Drosophila melanogaster: one gene and its partner. The protein of the gene in region 2 interacts with the protein of the main gene of each other region in a biochemical or structural test. Each region holds a gene or a part of one and is shown on either strand. Other genes may lie near its edges. The genes, in order: Sgs3 and Pgant9.

The links.
Region 1: of the proteins of Pgant9 (region 2) and Sgs3, one has a biochemical effect on the other in vitro, tested with the Drosophila melanogaster proteins (one study listed by BioGRID).

Annotation. Positions count from the first base shown.
Region 1 is NT_037436.4:11,510,332-11,513,986, reverse strand, and holds Sgs3 (salivary gland secretion 3), read right to left. Parts: upstream 1,767-3,655; 5' UTR 1,753-1,766; coding exon 1,725-1,752; intron 1,652-1,724; coding exon 756-1,651; 3' UTR 585-755; downstream 1-584. Other genes in the region: CG33272 (uncharacterized protein), read left to right, coding at 3,398-3,655.
Region 2 is NT_033778.4:16,729,692-16,735,013, forward strand, and holds the start of Pgant9 (polypeptide N-Acetylgalactosaminyltransferase 9), read right to left. Parts: upstream 3,226-5,322; 5' UTR 1,208-3,225; intron 1-1,207. UniProt on the Drosophila melanogaster protein: Catalyzes the initial reaction in O-linked oligosaccharide biosynthesis, the transfer of an N-acetyl-D-galactosamine residue to a serine or threonine residue on the protein receptor.

The DNA of each region.
Region 1 (3,655 bases), on a different chromosome or scaffold from region 2:
TTATCTCGACATCAGGTACACACACACACACACGCACACACAAGCGCACAGATACTCGGTAAAGTTATAGCCATTATAGTAGATTCCCGCTGTTTATATGGCATCACCCACCAATTATAAATCGCACATAGCGGACGTTTGTTTTATATCCTGTAAATATGTTCACGTCTTTAGTTGCACTTATTTGTCACTTATGTTGGGTCGAAGAAAACGCCGCCGGTTCAACATATGTAGGTATTTCAATTGATATCCAACGAAACGCGTCCACCAGCGACAAGCAACGGCACTCGAGTGGCGATCGGATCGTAAAAGCCGCCGATTCGAGTCGGGCCCAAACCGAAGTTCGAACCCGAGCCAACAGTAGTTAGCTGAGACAAGTTGACCAAGTCATAAGAGCTCGGATAGTTAAGACTTCGCATAGAACTAGGAGCCAAAGCCAACGCATTGGTAAAAGTAACAGATACATTCGAAAAAGTCGATCAAATGATGGCCAAACTTAATTTAGAACCAACATTTTCGAAAACCCAACAGATAAATAATAATTTGTCATAAATAATACAAGTAAAATAATAATAAATGCTTTTAAAATTTATGCAGTCTAACTAATTTTATTAATTCTTACACGTAAAATCAATTGATGATAACAAAAACAAAGCGTAGTCAAAGTCCTGGCCGAGCTCCCCCACAGAATATATTTCGCAGGGGTGCAGTCACATCGATCAGTACGGGAGTGGATTAGACGCTCCTTCGACGCTTCACAGCAACCATTGCGGTTCACCGCAGACGCATTGACGGATCTTGCGCTCCAGATTGCGGAGTACGCCGTTAAGATCCTGGCACAGTGCATCCCTCTTAGCACATCCATTGCATGGCTCTCCTCCAGGACCGCAGCTCTTGCAACCGCACGGCTTAGGTGTGGTGGGCTTAGTGGTGGTGGGCTTCGTGGTGGTGGGCTTCGTGGTGGTGGGCTTAGTGGTGGTGGGCTTCGTGGTGGTGGGCTTAGTGGTGGTGGGCTTCGTGGTGGTGGGCTTAGTGGTGGTGGGCTTCGTGGTGGTGGGCTTAGTGGTGGTGGGCTTCGTGGTGGTGGGCTTCGTGGTGGTGGGCTTAGTGGTGGTGGGCTTCGTGGTGGTGGGCTTAGTGGTGGTGGGCTTCGTGGTGGTGGGCTTGGTGGTGGTGGGCTTCGTGGTGGTGGGCTTAGTGGTGGTGGGCTTCGTGGTGGTGGGCTTCGTGGTGGTGGGCTTAGTGGTGGTGGGTGTTGTGCACGGAAGTTGCGTGGTAGTTTGCTTAGTGGTGGTGGGTGTTGTGCACGGAAGTTGCGTGGTAGTTTGCTTAGTGGTGGTGGGCTTAGTGGTGGTGGCCTTAGTGGTGGTGGCTTTAGTGGTGGTGGGCTTCGTGGTGGTGGCCTTAGTGGTGGTGGGTGTTGTGCACGGAAGTTGCGTGGTAGTTTGCTTAGGTGTGGTGGGCTTAGATGTCGTGCATGGAGGTTGCGTGGTAGATTGTTGTGTGGGTGGCGCACAAGTAGTTGTGGTTGTTGTTGTCGTAGTTGTGCACGGAGGTTGCGTGGTACGTGGCGCACAAGTAGTTGTAGTTGTGGGGCATCCACAATCGCAACAGTTGGCAACATTAGCGGAGCCAATAAGCAGGATGCTCGCTGTGGAGAAGGCAAACGGATGAATATATCAGTGGCTCAAATACCGAAAACAAGAGCATTCGGTGAAACCTACCTAGGGCGGTAGCAATGGTCAGCTTCATGTTTTTTACTTAATTCTCCACAAACTGATACTTTTCTTGCGGATACCTCACCTTTTTATAGGTACGCTTTCACTGAAACTGCAATTCTAAAAATGGAGTCAGTATTTCGATTATGCAAACACAAGCCTTCTCCCCTTTGTTTGATACTTTTGGGTCGACTCGATCGCCTGGACTTTATTTTAAAACAAGAGAGAACGCTAACGAGACTAACAGATACCCGTTACTTAGCTAGTTCAAGTGAAATGGAAAATGTATAACATTTTTCACGAATATCGGTAAAAATTGGGGGAAAGAAATTAAATTTAATGCTCTAAGGTGTGGAAGGGATAGATTTAGATAATAAAAATATGAAAAAATTATAAAACATTTTTCAAAAATGTGGGAGTGGCAAACAGAATCAGACGGACATGGCCAGATCGACTCGGCTATTGACCCTAATCAAGAATATATATGCTTTATATTCTGCCTGTTACTTCTCAGCGAAACGAGTATACCCTTTTACTCTACGAGTAACGGGTAGAAAAAGGTGTAGAGATGTTTTGCAGACAAACTGCGTTAAATTCTATAAATAATAGGTCTTTAATATAGGCTGAGTAAATATAATAATATAAATAAGGACAGTTAAATTTAGCTTAATTTAGCTTTACAAATAAGCCCCATAAAACTATTCAATTATCTTATAGTATTGCATATTCAAAAAATATATATTTTTAGGTTCGAATTAGGATAGACATTTTGGGTCTTCGTTTGCACTTTGACAGGCAATTTGACATTGATTCAACGAATTTACATACAGCCTTCTTTACTTGTTAGCCGATACACCAACCTCTAGCTAAATGTAATTCCAAACCACTCAAAGGCAATAACATTTTCTTGGTTCTTTATTGCTTCAGTATTTCACGATAAGGTTTTAATTGTTTAGTACGAAATGTATTAGACGTACTACTATATACTTATAATTAGATTTGCATTATAAACGAAAACCAAAGGTTTATAATCACAAATCATCTAGAATTATATTGACAATTGCTTTTAAAAAATCGATTGTATATCAAAATTATATTTTAATATAAATAAAAAGTAATAACAACATGTAAAGCAATATAATTGAGTGATAATTCAAAATGGCAGATTATAAAACAAAACTCACGGAAAACTTCTAAGAATGCATTGCAAGCATTTGCTACGACTTTCTCGAAATAATCCGATTCTCTTATAAGTTCAAATATGAATATAATAAAAGTAGAACAAAAAATCTAATCCGAACATAAATACTTAAGCTATTTTTTATCAATTTTATTTGTGATCTCGGCTTATTTTTCCTATCATGTTTGATTTGGTACATTGCTATGAATATCATAAACCTTTATACAGCTGTCTTAGTGTCGTCGGTAACCCAATGGATCGGCGTTTATTGATAGCAAATATTTAATATAGTTCATGAGACTTATTTTGTCTGCAGGAAGGAAATCATTGTGAGAATTATTATTTGGCAAATGTACTCGATAGCACAAAACGAGGAACTAAACAGAAGAAAATTCCACTATAAAAGACTTAATTGCAACTCCAGAAAATCAGAACACAGCATCTAGCAAATTCGATTATTTCACTGCGGACTTCTTAGTAAATTCCATCAAATTTCAAAATGAAATACCTTTTCGTGGTTGCCCTTATTGCCCTGGCCATCCAGATGGCTTCCTCTGCTAGTAACACAACAACAACTGATGCCACCACCACAACAACAACCACCACTGCAGCATCAACCACAACAACAACAACGGCCGCTTCCACTCACAAAAAGCTTTGTTGGAGGGGCAACAACTGGTGCCACACCCGCATTCCCAAGCGGAAGTGCAAGAATCCCAAGAGGTGCCACAAGACCATCGTGATTGTGACCCACAGG
Region 2 (5,322 bases):
TTCATGCCTTTTATGCCTGCGATTCTAGGCCAAAGAGTTTTTCCAGCAAAAACCAAAACAAAAACCGGCAAAACGCACGCAGCCAGACAGGCCAGCCAAGCACCAACCAGGCTAAAAGAGTGGGAGTTGAAGAGGTGGCTTAAGTGCTGCCATGGCAAAGCCAGAGGCAAAAACAAAGCGGACCCATTCAAGGGTTTTTCTCGCACAGAAATACACAAATATACAAAAGCCAAACACGGGCACAGCTGCTAGCGGAGCAGAAGGCGACTATAAAAATCAAATGAAATTTATTGATTTTTCTTTGCAAGTGCCTGCAAAAAAAAAAAACGGGGAGAGTCGGCAAAGTCAAGGAAATGCCCAATAAAAAGTAATTTGCAAACAACAAACCTCACATTTCTTTCGCACACAAATTTTTTAAACCCTCGTCAAGTACGACGAAGCCAATTTTATCTAGTCCCCTAAAAACTATACTCCCACTTCGATTGTTATACATTTAAATAACTATAGGAATATGAAGGTTTTCTTTTGGGTAATTTAAGCATTTGCAAAATACTAAACAAAATAAATGTAGATTTGTCGGTTTAAGGAATATGACATCTATAGTTATTATGCATATATGTTTTAGAAATGAAAAATGAGATTTATTCCATGTCAGGTTTTTTAAGACGCGTGAGCTGCCTAATGAAATATATTATTTTTATTTGAAAAATTTTCTATTTCCTTGCAATTTTTTCCGATGTGTACAACTATCTCAAAAGGGAATGCATATTTATGTTTCGTTTTGTTTTTGTTTTTAGCCCGCAGACAAAGTCGAAAGCCCGTTGAAAAGTTGAAAATGAGGAAGTGAGTTTACAGGGGACCAATGCTAACACTAAGACAAGAGCAAGAACAAGAACAAGAACAAAAACTGAAACAAGAAGAAGAGGTGGCGAAAGAAGCGGGGAAGCATTGTAAAATGTCGGCCCAAGCTAACGGTGCACGAGCACCAAGGCAACAAACAAACAAACAACACAGCAAACATGAATGTTTTGTTTGATATGCTGTCAGGCGGGAAAGAGATGGCGCCAGGGGGCGGAAAAGGGAGAGGGCGAGGACCGAAGGCAAAACGACAGGTGCAAGGTGAGTGGAAAAGGGACGGCATGCTGCCGGGTCGCGTGTTTACAAGCTCTTCTCCGTTAGTTCTAAAAAAAAAAAAAAAACAACTTACCCGCCTTTCGCTCTCCGCTTTGCTCCTTGATTCTGCTGTCAAAAATTCCCAAGTTCCAATTTCAATTCAGTTGGCAAGTTTCACAAAAAATTATACCCTGCGGCTGTTTTTTTTTTGTATGCTTTGATTTTTACTCAGTTGCTTTTTGAGCTATTTCGATTAGCATGCTTTAATTTGTGTATGAATTTTTCACACTATTAATTTGTAATTTCTGCTTATTTTTGCCATTTGCATATATGATTTCACACATTCAAAGAAACTTCACAGCTGACTGTGATTTGTGTTGCTGTTGTTGTTATTTCGTTATTTCATTATTTCACACACACAGCCAGACAGACACGCACACGCACACACCTCTGCGTAGGTGTGAGGAGTGGAAGAGGAAGAGAAATGCAACGGATTCACAATTCACCTTAGCACGCGCGCTCTCCCACTCGCACTTACGGACCGACCGCAACCTGCTGATTTGACGGTCAAAAATCGACTGAGTATTTCCCATTGGAGTTTTAGCCGGCAACAGTGGCTCGCAACATGTTCGCAGCCCCAGGTTCGATGTTCGAGTTGCAAGTGGGTGGGGGGGTTGTTGTGTGGGTCACTTCGCTCCTTCTGATAAACACTCGCTGATAAGCCCAGCACAGACACACACACAGAGACACACAGCAAGACTCTTTGTTGTTGCCCCAGACATTGTTGTTCTCAGCCTGTGAATGACAAATGAGCCCGTATACGCCAAATGGAATGGATATGGAATTTGAAATGGGATTGCAAGAGCGGTCCACCCTCATGGGTTATTAGGCGCGGGGGAGGAGACTGACGGAGACTGTCATGTCGCAAAAGACGGGATAAGAGTTTCCCAGAAGGTCCTCGCTTTTCATCCATGGAATGGCTGAGAAATCTGTTTAAATTCAAACAAACCAAAAAAAGAAAACAAAAATACGAAGCGAGGTTAACTAAACTAAAAACTAACTAATACTACTACTAACCTTTATAAATTTATAAATGCATATATTCAGAATGTCTCGGATGTGTTTAATGTGGGCTTCTAGTTAAATTGGTTAATATTATTATTATATGGTATATATATTATTATTTTTATATATACATACATACATATATACATATACATATTATATGATATACTAGCCTTTAGTTGCACTAACTTTCTTTAGCTTTTAATGGGCTCCGCTGGTCATCACTGTTGCAACATCGAACAAGCTCGTTCGCGACTCTTAAGCCGGCTGGCAACTGCAACTCGAACTGCAAGTCTAACGTGTTGGCCACTGCACTTGTCGTTGGCCATCTTCAAATCGGCTTGCACGTGGCTCATTTGCATATTGAAGTTGTTTGCCTTGTTTTTGCTTTTGCTGGGGGTGGGGATGGAATGATGAGGGCGGTTTAGCCGCAGGAAAGTAACCATATTTTTGTGGAAATTTAATAATGACTAATATTAATTAACTTTATTTAATTGAAATTTTTTAGAAGTTGGCGACAGAATCTATTTGCGATTGGCTACCAACATTCACTGCATTTTACATAGCAATTGTGATGTGTAAAGAACGGACCACGAAATTGACAATTTGCAACACCGACGGAAGCTGTTTTTCAATTGCTTCGCTTTGGCACCTCCCCTCCCTATTTTCCGCATTTTCCGCCCGCCGTTCGTTATGGACTTTTCATTGGTTTTGTTTGGCTCTTTCAATTGAAACATGGCCAAGTTTTGGGGCAGCATTGGTGGTGGATATTTGTGGGAACGTTTGGGAGAATGGGAGGACGACACCAATCAACTTTTTCCTCTGCGCCGCATTTTTCATTAGTTTTTCTTATACAGCGAAAAAGTTTTCTTGGCCTCAAAACGAGTCTCGTGTTTTTCACTGCTTGTTGTCATATATTGATAGCGCTCAAGTTTCTGTTTGCACAACTGCATTTGGCCATATACAATGCATCGCATTGCAAATATTGACGAACAAATGGATGAGCTAGTGTGATCATGTACAGCTTGATATTAAATACTTTCACCATAAAGCTAATAAATAGTATCAATATAACAACATTTTCAAGGCTTACGGAAGTTCGAAAAATTCCATTTAAGGTTGAAGTATTTCATGAAATTTCATTTATATATTTGCATTGTTTGTTATTATAGAATTTTCACTTTTTTCGCTTATTTAGGTTAATTAGGTCTGCTATTTCAATTGATGAAACCGTCCCCATTTTTAAAATGATGCTCGGTGCCCAAATTGCTGGAAAATGCCAATTTCAATACAGCTGTGCCACCTGTGATTTTGATTTGATGGCTGTTTTCGTTGGCGCTGCCAATTTGCCGACCAATTGAAAATGCAATGCACGCCCCAGACAAAAACTCATTTGCAACACTTCACGCAACGCCGGCGATTTCGATTTAGCCAAGATCAAGGGCGATAATGCCCGCAGCAGCAACGGCAGCAGCAGCAGCAACAACAGCAGCAGCAGATGCAACAACAACTGCTGCGGCAGCAACATTGGTTATATGTACATTACATTGCGTGCAACAGCGAGCTGCAGATATAAATAGCCAGCGGCAACAGCAACTTGGCCCTTATCCATTTTGGCTGATCTTTACGCACAGGAGGCACCGGCATTAACTGCCGCTGCAACATCTGCAACACAAACACAAGCTGCAACAACAACATTCCTTTCGACATTTAATTAACGATCGCGATTGCAATCAAAGCAGCTCTCCCACACCCCGATTTCCCCTTCCGCCACACCGTGTTTTGAATGGATCCTGGCCAGATTGCAGGTTTACTGGTGGCCAGTTACTTAGTTAGCCGGGCTAAGCTGACAAATACTGTAATTAATTTTAATTGCAGCGATTGGCGCTCGCTTTCCGTCTCATTACAGACTGCACTGCTCCCTTTTTGTTTTTTTTTTTTTACTACCGCCTTCAGCTGGCGTTGATTTTCGCTATGATAAACCCAACGATTCCGCAGTATGCCCTGGTATTCCCGCTCGCCATTCTTGGCTACGTGTTTTTACGCCTAATTGCTGGAAATGTCGCGTGGCAAATATTTTGTCGCCTTCACAAGGGCGCTCAATAAGCGAACAGCAAAAGCGAAAAAAAGGTGTATATTAATAAATACACTGGGACTGGGGGGTACATAAAAATGTATATTTATTACAAACAGATTCAAAAATCAAATAAACTTAAGCATAATATTTCGCTTAACAAACTAGTTAGTTAGCAGTTATATTTAAAAACCTATTTCAAAGCAATTTTAATCCCGTTTACATACTTTCATAACCTGATTATTTTTCCACTGTAGCTCCTCTCTTGCATATTTTGCAAACACTTGCACTTTGGTTTAATGGAGTATGGCAAGTGCAAAATGGAAATAAAAATGTTCATTTCTCGGGTCCCCGGAGGCTCCCAGACGAATAATCATATAAAACACTTTTCGTTTGCAGTTCATTGAGTGAGCACAAATCCAATTAGATTTTGACTCGGCTTAGTTAGGCAGCCCCGGACTCGCCCCTCAAATTCACTGGAAAGCAACCCGGAAAACACCCGAAAAACACACACATACACACACAAACACAAATGGAGTGCCGAAAAATCGTTGCATACTTTGCAGCAAAAAATGTTCTCAAGTCAATTTGCCTGCCATAACTGTTGACTCAAGTTTTGTTTCCGTTTATTGGTGTGAGTGAGCGGAAGTTTTCATGTGTGTCAGTGTGTGTACTTAGCTGGTATTTGTGTTAGTTTAGAGAATTTAACTTGTGGGCCGCAGGTCGGTTCGCAATTGGTTTGACACACATAAATAGTTTATGCCGCATTGCTGATTATTGATTTTGCAACCAATTAAAATTCCAGCACAAACAGGACTACTGCCTGCAAAGCAATTTGATCCCTCTGGGAATTAAGCACAAGCTCACAAATAATCTAAGAGACTTGAAACGACATCAAAAGCTCTGGTTTAATTATTCAAATCGAAGCATGTTATGGTAAAAGTTAAACTATTAAGGTGTAATTTGATAAATGACTTTGAATGAAAGCTATGTTCCTTGGCCATCGTACGATTTAAGTCGATTTTATGGAACACATAATCTGGCTCAATAAATACGTTTTGTATGCGCAG